Linked DNA regions of Canis lupus familiaris. The protein of the gene in region 1 purifies or fractionates together with the protein of each later gene. This does not show direct contact. Links are inferred from orthologs where the notes say so. Each region holds a gene or a part of one and is shown on either strand. Other genes may lie near its edges.

Region 1 (5,591 bases):
TTGTAGTTTAATTTGCCAGTGGCATATTTGTTTTTTCAATTTGTCTTTAACCCTCAGTTAAGTTTTTCCTGCCCTTGGTCAGATCTACTTACCAATATTGATGATTGTATATATGGAGAGATGGGTAAGGGATTAGGATCAATTAAAATCCCTAGGTTTTCACAGAGAAAAACTAATGTTTAGATTTTATGGTAATTATTTTAATACTATTAAGAGTGGAATCTTATTTAAGGTCTTTGTATTCATAATACCTAGCACAATGCCTGGAGCAAATAATAAATACTTTGTTGAACTAACTTATTAATCGGTTTCCCCTGCTAAGAAAAGCGAGAATTCTTAAAATTTAAAGTGTTCTGTGAACTTAACCACCATTTTAAGTTACAATTGTTCATATTAATATTTTGTTCAGAGTTAGTAAAGATTGAGGATGACTTAAGGCATGGATTTGTACCTTAGCAATGGGTTTCCTTATGAGCTACACATAAACTTGCTCAACCACTGTCTCACACAGGTTCACTATTATGAAGATGGCAATGTTCAGTTGGTTAGTCATAAAGATGTACAGGACTCAGTAACTGTTTCGGTGAGTGTGGAATATTTAATATCTCATTTGTGCCTTGTTTTTCTTTGAAAAATTTGATTTTGATCCTGAGTATTGATTCTGTCTCTAGAAATTCAGTTTGTTTTCAGTGCTTTGATTTTGGCAGTTGATAAAAGTATGCAATCAACTGGCTATAATTAGTTCATGGTGTTTGACTAAATATAATAAATAATTATGTAATATAACATAATGTGGGGCACCTGGGTGGCTCAGTCAGTTAAGCATCTGCCTTCAGCTCAGGTCATGATCCCAGGAGCCTGGGATTGAGTCCTGCATTGGACTCCCTGCTCAGTGGGGAGCCCGTTTCTCCCACTCCCTCTGCCCCTCCCCCTGCTTGTGCTTTCTCTGTCTCTTTCTCTGTGTCAAATAAAAAAATACAATCTTTTAAAATACATATATATGTGTATATATATAACATAAAGTAACATAGCATGATATATTGACAAATAGTGATAATAGCTTTAGAGAATCCAAACTTCTTTCTCTCTTTCTCAATTGTGGATTTGCTCAAGGACAGCAAAATCTTCAATCAGTAAATACCAGAAAGAAGGAGTTTTCCAACAAATCCTGTAGAGCTGCATTCGTTTCACTAAAGAAACTGAACATTTTTAGGAATATCCAATTTAAAAGTATTGTGCCTAATTTTTTTTTTTTTTTTACATTCGCAGTACTTCTTTATATTGTAGAAGTTATTGAGCACCTTCAAATAGGTATTGTTTGGGGTGCTTGGCTGTCTCAGTTGGTAGAGCATGTGACTCTTGATCTCAGGGTCATGAGTTCAAGCCCCATGTTGGTTGCAGAGTTTATATTTTGGGAAAGAAAATCTTAAAAAAAAAAAAAAAAAGGACACCTGGATGGCTCAGTTAGTTAAGCATCCAACTCTTGATTTAGGCTCAGGTCGTGATCTCAGGGTTGTGAGATCAAGCCCCACGTTGAGCTCTGCACTCTGTGCCCCACCCCCACCCTACTGCCAACCAGGAACATGCTCTTTTTCTCTCTAAAATAAATCTTTAAAAAATAAAATAAAAGATAATTAAGAAAAACAAAATAACCAGATAGCTTTTGTTTATGTATATCTACAATATTTACCTTATTAGGCGTTAAAACTGAGAAATGTTAAATGTATTTATTAATTTAAAAATACAATAACAAACCCATTACTTTTTAACCTAAATAACATTTTCATGAACAACAACCATATTTTCCAAACCAAAAAAAAATTATGCAAAGAATGGCAGTGGTTGACATTTTTACAAATTGTATAGTGTCTGACTAAATAAAAGACCACTGGATTCTCATATGTGCCCACACATTCCATTAGCTGTCAGAGTGATGAAGCCATCGCACATGTAGCTTCTGAGACCTGCATTATGCACACTTGAGAAGGAGAGTGGAAAAGCAAATGACTTGTCTTAGTGTTGTTGTAAAAACAAAAGATGGGTTTGACTATTTGAAAGAATATGGGGACTGCTGCTTTAGGTAGAAAATCTTACCTTTTACCTTTAATTGTGTTCTACTTTAATGATGAAAGGAAGAGAGAGAATGAAACCAAATAAACCAAAGTGAAAAGGATATGTTCAGTTAATATTGTACCTGAGTCACATAAAGCAAAATGTGATGGTTGGCTTAACATAAGTAGCAAATAGAAGAGTATATAAGTTTAACATATATGGCTAATAGCGGTGAGGGCATTGTTTATATCATCTGAAAGCAGAGATATTTTCAAGGCATATACATTTCAAGATATTGTGATGATGTCTTTTTGGGCATACCATGGTAGATGGAAAGAACATGGGGTCTCCTGGCAAAGACTGGGATTCAGACCCCATCTTTATCTTTCAAGAGCTGTATAATTTTGGTCTAGTCACAAGGATTCTGTTTTCTTATCTTCAAAGTGGAGGTGATGCTAATAACAGGTCTACTTCACAGAGTTTTTCTAAGAATCAAAAAAGATAACATGCAAGGGAGCACTTGACAACTATAAATTGTTATACAAATATTCAGATTTCTTTAAGATGGTCTTTTCAGTATCTTTTTATTCACTCCTTATCCTTTTTAAAAAATTCCTATTTCCCCCCTTCCTCCATTAGAATGAAGTCCAGACTGCCAAGGAATTTATTAAAATCATAGAGCATGCAGAAAATGAGTATCAGGTAAGATCTGGAACTAATTTTTCTAGATCTTTAGTACCTTATTTTGCTGTTAACACATTTCGTTAGACTTCTCTTTGTCCTTTTAACATAAATATACGTGTTACTCAGTGTTAGTAAGTGTGGAGACTATAGACCTTGCAATTTGGCATTATGCTTACAAAGTTTCAACATTGGAAGGGATTATAGATCTAGTTTTAGAAATACTGTAAGTGGGCTTCTTAACTCACTTCAGAAATGGGAGAGGAGCTTACTAGGAATAGTACATCCTGTCTATCTTTACAAGACTCAGGCATGTCCTTTGACTACAGAGTTACTTTCCTAATCACAACCATCCTTTTCTGTTCAAGCAACTTATCTTCAATTATCTGTTGCAGACAGCAATTAGTGAGAACTATCAAACCATGTCAGACACCACATTCAAGGCCTTGCGCCGGCAGCTTCCAGTTACCCGCACCAAAATCGACTGGAACAAGATACTCAGCTACAAGATTGGCAAAGAAATGCAGAATGCTTAAAAGCTGAATGTAGGATTCTTCAGTACATGGAAAGAAAGAATTCAACATGCGGTCATATGATAAATAAGTGATTTATAAACAAGAGTGATATTTTGCTAGGGCTTTCAGAGTTAACAGGTTTTCTAGCCTCATGGAATACTGTTGAACCGATAGCATTGTCTTGATTCTTTTGTGTTCTCTGCCTTGTAATTTTTTGTTTTCACTCTATCTACTTGTAAATTTTTTCTTTTTTTAATTCTGCCACATTTAATGATGGAGAGAGAGACAGGCAGACAGACCTATCCTGGAGTCATTTTACTGTTTAGAAAATTTTCCTAGCCATGAAGCCCTGTTACTGATATAGACAGGTAATATGCTCAGTACTTTTCTACCGCTATCCTTCAAAACACTTCTGGTACTTCAGCGGTTTTTACTGATCCACCAACAACAGCTAAAGAGGCTATGCTGCAAACTAGCTGAATGGAAGACACACTCATCCTTCTCCCTCTGACTGCTTTGATCATCATTTATAACATCTCATAATTGTAGTTTTGAAAGTTTAGATTGGGCTTTTCAGGTCCTTTTGTGAGGGCAAAGGAAGTTTTCTGGAAATTCCATTATAGCCAACTTCTCTGGGGAAGTTGTTTTTAAATCCAAAGACTTGAACCACATTCCCTGCACATGAACATGTTTGCTTTTTTCTCTTCCCTCATTGTCTCCTTCCCATCTAATATCATTATAGTTAGAGACATCTGCATTTTTAGAAGAGTTTTACCTGTTTATTATTATTTTGTATTATTCAAAAACTGCTGACCTACTAGGGGTGTAGTAGAGTATAAAACTTAAAAAATGCAGATGTTGAAGGAATACTAGGTATCTTGTGCTTTAATACTTTGTGGCAGGATTATACTATAAGCAGATGAGTCAAACAACTATGTAAATCACAAACAAAAAAACTAAAAATGAACCAAAGTGAAAAGGATATGTTCCAGGCAGTATCTTTCTATTGTAACCTGTTATTTAAGGGAATACTAGTGATTCGTTCTAAATAGGATGTAAAACTTGTTCCAAATTACTCCTCAGTCCTGCCTGCCAAGAGCTCAAATGTAACTGTGATATAGCAACCCTTCCCAGGTGTATTGGCAGGTAAATGTGTGATCTCAGAATACACAGGTGACATAGATATGATATGACAACTGGTAATGGTGGATTCATTTACATTGTTTACACTTCTATGACCAGGCCTTAAGGGAAGGTCAGTTTTTAAAAAACCAAGTAGTGTCTTCCTACCTATCTCCAAATAAATGTCAAAAAAGAAGGGTGTTTGTGCTTCAGCTTTGTTTTTGCTCAGTAATACAGTCAAGCAAGTTTGTTTCCAAGTGACCTGTTGAGCTGTGTAAGCTTTTTTGTTTATTTCAAATAAAATATATTTGTATTATGTGTCATTCATACTATATCCATTCATACCACACTATCCTCTGTATCAGGTAGTCCAATAGAAATATACCTGTTTTGTTCTTAAATTGTCTGAGTCTCTCCTTTTCAATCCATCTCTTCAGTTTTTGTTCTCAAGGTAAGATAGAATTGTGTGCAGTCCTATTTGATGAGGATGTTCAGGGTTTCTTAAATTGGTTCCTACCTATTACAGATTCGGTGATTATCCAAAGACTTGGAAAGAACAGCTTTTTTGTTTGTTTTTAAGTTTCAGCATTGTCTCTATGGATAATACTGTTCTTCACCTAAAGGCTATGGATGAATCAGAGGGTTTGTTGTGTGTGTTTTTGGTTTTGGTTTTTTTTTTAAGATTTTATTTTTAAGTAATCTAATCTCCACTCCCAACATGGGGCTCAGACTCACAACCCTGAGTTCAAGAGCTGCATGCTCTATTGATTGAGCCAGCCAAGCACCCCAAAGTTTTTGTTTTGGTTATCCATTTCTAGTTATCTTCTGTGTTTGTCATTGAGAAAGCAAGGCCCAAATATGGCTGTAATCACTAGGAAGTAGCAATGAAAGAATCCCTGTACCTTGAACTTGGATGAGATTTTACACTGACTTAACCTCTAAATGCAGCTTTCCTTCCAAATCTGACTTAGCTACAGACATGAGAGAAAGGCTTTTATCCTGGTTCCTGAGAGAACCAGAGGAGTTTCAGTGATTCACATTCCATCTGAGGCCAGTTCAAATTCCCCACCTTTTGGGGGAACATTTGTTGTACTATACTCTGTACTTGTAGTGCAAACAGAATCAAATCTTCTTGCCTTTGCCTTTAACTTATTAACTCGGTCAGCCTGTCCCCAGCCTATCCCATTTCCCTAGCCCATATAGACTTTTGTAAAAACTCTT
Region 2 (5,379 bases), on another chromosome or scaffold:
TACAGGAAGAAAACAAGACCAGAAACCTACCTTGTACGTAAGGCATTCTAATGCCAGATAAAAGACTTAGAATTACTCATGGCCACGGCCCTTCTCACTGAATCCTGTATCACCCACTCATTGGGCTCAGCCCAAAAAAGGAGTCTAGACAGAGCCAGGAGGCCTGGGTTCAAACTCCCCCCACCAGGTGTATGCCATTTCTCCCCTAGACCTCAGCGTCCTCCCCTGCACGCCACACGGTTAACCCCAGGGTTGGGGTTAACCCGCTTCACCTGGAAGGTCAATCCACCCTCATGTGCTGGGGATGGAGGTTCTCGAACACTTCTGAACGCTCTCCACGGGAGCAGACAACCTTCAGAACTCATCCTGCACATCCCCAGCAGCGTACCTCCTGCCCTCACTCCCCCACCCCCTCCAAGACAGAGCAGGGGGTTCGGCTGCTGCCCCTCCCACTCTCCTCCCAGCCACCCTGCTCCACCCTGCACCCATAGGTACCTGGCTCGGAGCCAGCAGATCCCAGCTCCTCCTCCGTCTCCCGGGGCGGTGGGGAAGCCATGGCAGTGCCTTCCCTGAGAGCGGACACTTTCATCACAGGCGGCAGACCCTGCATGAAGAGTTGGAGAGCAGAGGGCTGTGAGCCGGGGGGCTGGAGACCCAGGAAAAGAGGGAGGGAGACTGAGAAGGCAGAGGGGCTGGGCACTGGCAGTAGGCGTAGCTGACACAAGTCTCCTACTTCCAGCAGAGGCAGAGTGTGGGACAGGAAGCAGGAACTTCGGAGGGGGGTTGGGGAGGTCAAGAGCGGTCCCCTACAGCTGTAACCTCCGCTCTTCCCAGACCACTCTCTAAACTCCGGGCTCCTCACCCTAAAGTCCCGGAGCGGCAGGGACCCGCTGCTCCCAGGGGCAAGCTCTCCAAGACCCCCTACTTACCGTTCCCAGGGCACCCCTTGGGGCCGGCGGCCCAGCCTGAGACGTCTACTCAGGGGCAGAGCAAGAGGGCCGCGAGCTCTGAGGTCCCTCTGTGAATCACCTCATGGGAGACGGGAAAAACCCGCTCCTCCCCAACCTGGGGCTCCGCCCCGCCGCCTGCCTCCCCCTTCCCGCTCTCCCTCCTTCCCCCCTCCCCCTGCAGCTGGGAGTGGTTCCCTCTCCCCGCTCAGCCCCCCCCTTTCTCCTTCCACATCCCAGCCCCACTCCCGCCTCCCTCCGAGCCGTCTCATCCAAACACGGAAAAATAAGGAATAAAAAGTAAACATCTGGAATACATTTTTTTTTCTTTAATTTCTCAATCGCTTTGGCTTCAGCTTGGAATTTGATGAGGTAAAGCCAGGGCCTAGTCCTGTTGCCATAGCAATGGCCTCCCACTGGATTTCCAGAGCCTCGCCAAGAGGAAGGAGGAGCCGGCCCAGGCCTGGGCTGGGAGAATGGGACAGGACTTGAGAACATCCGGGGGGTGGGGTGGCTTGGGGGAAATAACTCCCCGGGGTTCCCCCTTCTAGGCAGTCAGGGTGGGAGAGCCTATGAAATGGGGATATTGGGCATCACTCAGCAGCCCAGGGTCGGTCCCAGGGATTTTGAGGAGGGGGAGCCAAAGAAATTTTAAACCAAGCAACACAGCCCTATGGCAGAGACCGAATGATGCCCCTCCTCTAAGCCTCAAGCAGGAGCTTTGGGGTCTGACACATCAGGATTCAAATGCTGAGTGGCTCTACCACTTCTTTAGCTGTGTGACCTTAGGCACACTGCTTACTTCTCGATGGCTCAGTTTCCCTATGTGAAACACAGCTTTACCTGAGACTGGCGGGAGGCCTATGTGAGAGTGCACGCCTAACCCATAAAAAGTATCCAGCAAATATTGGCCAGCATTAGTAGGATTCCATGCAGGGTCACCAATGAGCTAAGATCCTTGGTAACTAACTGCCTCTTCCTCTCCCCAGGCCACAGGCTGCCAGCACTCCAAACCACTCCTCCACTCCCGCGGGCCCATCTTGTCACCTGCTCCTCAGACACCCCACCACCTCCTCAGTTCCCATTCTAGCTCCATCCCACCCACAAGACCCCCCAGGCTCCAGAGCCCTACCCCTCTCATTCCTAAGGCAGGAGGAGGCTTCCCATCACCGGGCATGCCCGCAGCCCTGAGGACAGCCCAACCCTCTCCCGCCTGCAAGGGGCACTGCTTTCCTCACCACCCACTCCAGCTGGCCTGGGGGAGACAGCGCCAAATCCTGAGAGGAGACCCCTGGGGCCCAGCCTTGGCAGAACCCAACCACCCCTCACTTTTGCCCCTGCCCCAGCTGGCTCCTAAGATGGGAGAAAACACGACAAGGGTAAAGACAAACCCAGGACCGTCAATCCCTTGGTCAGCCAACTACAAGGGAGCAGCGCACGCGGTGGGTGGGTGATAACTGTGCAGAGCCAGTCCGAGTGTGCATGGGGGAGGGGCGCACGACAGGGGGAAAAAAAATTTAAAAACACACAAGATTGTTTCCTTGTCCTTGAACATTATTAAAAGGGACATGGTGTGGGTGGTTAGAAATGGGGACAGATTGGCCCAGAACCATAAAACCCTTTCACTTGGGGGGCCTGATGGGCACCTCTGCAGTAGGAGGGGCTGCAGCAATGAAGGGGGGGGTTCGGCTTCCCCACCTGAGGGCCACAGAAGCTCAGAGGGCCCAGCCAGGAAACCCAGGTGACCAAGGCCGTAGCCAAAAGCTGTAGAACGGCAGCAGCACTGAGCACTCCTGAGCCCCAACAGTCAGCGGGGGACCAGCCGACCCCCGGGCGCAAAGGCCACCAGGGGGGCTGGGGAGAGGCTGGGCAGCTCCAGCCCGGGGAGGCAGCGGCCCAGCGCGCCCTCAGCGCCAGCGGGGTCGCCCCTACGGACCCTGGGATCTCCGGCCGGATCCGGGGCCAGAGAGGTCGGCAGGGACAGCACGGAAACCACCGGAGGAGGGAGGGCAACGGGAAGACGGAACAGCCCGGGGCGAGGGGCCGTCTGGAGGGGCCCAGTGGGGAGCCCTGGACACAGAGGGGACGCCGGCCGCCGAGGAGGAGGAGGAGGAGGAGGAGGAGGAGGGGAGAGGAGGAGGAGGGGGCGGCGGCAGAAGCGGAGGACCGGTGCGCTGGCTGAGCAGCCGGCGAACAGACGAGGGACTGGGGACGCGGGCCGGGTGGGGGCGGACTGGGGTGGCTGGGGGCGTGCCGCGGGAGCCGGGGAGGGGGCGGGGGTCCCTCCAGCAGCTCCGCCCGCCCCCGGCCCCGCCTCAAGCCCTCGCCCCCTCCCCCTCCCCCCTTTCTTCTAGCTCGGCCAGCACGAGCTCCAGACCCTGCACCCACCGCCCCCGGGCGCACGCGCCCGCTCCCCCGCGCCCCCCGCGCCCCCCGCGCCCCCCGCGCCCCCGGCCCCTGCAAACTTTCCCGCTGACCCCCGCCCCCCGCCCCCCGCCACCACCTCCACGACCCGAGGTCCCGGCAGGAAAGCGCCCACTCCCTCCATGCCTCTCCCCCGCCCCCATCCCGGACCCCGCCCCCTCCCTCGCCCTCCTGCCCGCCCCCGCGCACTCACGCGCTCCCCGGGGATCCGGCTCCGCGCGGCTCGGGCTCGGCGCCCCGACGCCAGTCCTCGCCGCCGCCGCCGCCGCCGTCACCGCGGGACCAAGCCTGAGCGAGCCCCGGCGGGGCCCCGCCCCTGGCTCCGCCCAGGGCCCCGCCCCCAGCGCGCCTCGTGAATATTCATGAGCCGGTGGGACCCGGGAGCGGGAAGCCCAGGCCGGGCACGCCGAGCCGTATGCAAATGAGCGGCAGCCCCGGCGCTCAATTATTTATGAGTCTTGCAAATAAGGGGCCTGCCCCGGGCTCGGACCCCGGCGAAACTGACGCAACTCGGCGGCTGGGAGCGCTTGGGCGAGATGGCCACCGAGACGGCTGCCTAGAGAGGCGGCCTGAGGGCGGCCGGCTCCGGCTCGGGCTCGGGCTCGTGCTCGGGCTCCGCGGGCCGCGGGCCCTGATTGCAGCACCATAGAGTCCCGGCGAGAAAGAAGGTCGCCGCTGGCGGACCGGAGGGGCTTCCTGCGGCGAACACCTGAGAACGCGCGCAACGTGGCCGCTCCACGTGTACCGGTCGAGGCGTGGAGCCGCCGTGGGGGCGGCCGCGGGCCCCGGCTCTCCAGCCGGCCCTCGCTTATGTGCTCTTATCCCCCTTCCCGGACGGAAGCTCCGCGACCGCCCCACCAGAACAAAAGCTGCACCCGCGCTGCACACCTCGGCTGCACCCTGACCCCCACCCCCACCACTCGCCGTCCACCGCCCTCCGCTCTCCGCTCTCGGGTTTCCGTCGCCCCCGCTGCGCGCAGCCCGGTCAATCCTTATTCCATTATCTAAAGCCATGGAAGACCCTTGACTCGGGTGATGAAGGACTGAGCCAGAGGCTGCCTCCCCTCAGCGGGGCTAATGGAGTGAAACTGTGAGAGTGACTTCCTAATCAGATCAGCTCTGGTTTCTAGACTCTCAGGTGGCCCATCCCCGCAGGAGAGAGTGAAAACCAATGCCCGTCCAACCGGGAACAGAACAGGATGTACCTGGAGGCTTGCTTCCCGGCTGGCCAGCAGGGCCCGGCCCAATCACAACAGTACGGCAACCACCACCCCCGGACCACGGGCGCCTGTGTACAGCAGCAGGGCTACAGAGAAGGCATTAGCACATGGTTTCCAAAGTCAGTTCCCTTTATTAAATGTTGATTTTTCACAGACCAGAAATACAAAATAAAAGTAGAAATAGGCCCCGTTAGGAGCTATGGCCTGCCCTCACCTGACCCCTGCTGCAGCAACCTGAACAGGAGAAGCAGCAGCCGTATCCCTAAGGTCGCAGGAGCAGGCTCAGGATTCCACCCTGCACTGCACTGCCCCACCCAATCTCTCCCCAAGTTATCAAGAGCCATCCTTGAGAAGCAGTAGAGAGGAGGACACCTCCCCTGCTGCCCCGGTGAAGTGCGTGTCACCAGGAGAGCTTGTCAAGATGGCACAAAATCCAAGGGCTGCATTTCATGAGAAACTGGTACCAAAACACGGGTGGAGAGACTGCAGGTTGTGACAGGGCAAGCCCAAGGAGAGAGAATTTTCTTCCTCTCTACTCATCAGATCCTGATGCCGAGTCTTCTGAGCTGGGGGGGGTGCTGGCCAGCTCCTCTTCTTCAGAGTCCTGAAAATCAAAGGTCTCTTAAGGGAAAGGTTTAGAGTCCTGGTTGCCCTCCCAGGGAGCCACTTTTCAGTGGTGAAGGATCCCTAATTCCCTACCCACCCCCAACCCCCCACTGCAGCACTCGCCTTCAGAACCTGAGAACTGCACCTTTCCACTCCAACTCACTACTCTCACAGACCTACCA

What was found. Proteins that work in one complex are often made in the same cells at the same time.
Region 2: the proteins of CAPZA1 (region 1) and TNKS1BP1 purify together in Homo sapiens (affinity purification with mass spectrometry; 3 studies listed by BioGRID and IntAct, with this or other methods). This does not show direct contact. The link is inferred for Canis lupus familiaris from reciprocal best matches to the Homo sapiens genes CAPZA1 and TNKS1BP1.

Annotation. Positions count from the first base shown.
Region 1 is NC_049238.1:63,624,756-63,630,346, reverse strand, and holds the end of CAPZA1 (F-actin-capping protein subunit alpha-1), read left to right. Parts: intron 1-511; coding exon 512-583; intron 584-2,691; coding exon 2,692-2,754; intron 2,755-3,128; coding exon 3,129-3,269; 3' UTR 3,270-4,693; downstream 4,694-5,591. UniProt on the Homo sapiens protein: F-actin-capping proteins bind in a Ca(2+)-independent manner to the fast growing ends of actin filaments (barbed end) thereby blocking the exchange of subunits at these ends.
Region 2 is NC_049239.1:39,279,658-39,285,036, reverse strand, and holds the start of TNKS1BP1 (182 kDa tankyrase-1-binding protein), read right to left. Parts: upstream 3,671-5,379; 5' UTR 3,565-3,670; intron 1,091-3,564; exon of another isoform or gene 930-1,090; intron 605-929; 5' UTR 590-604; coding exon 496-589; intron 1-495. Other genes in the region: FACT complex subunit SSRP1, read right to left, coding at 5,124-5,195.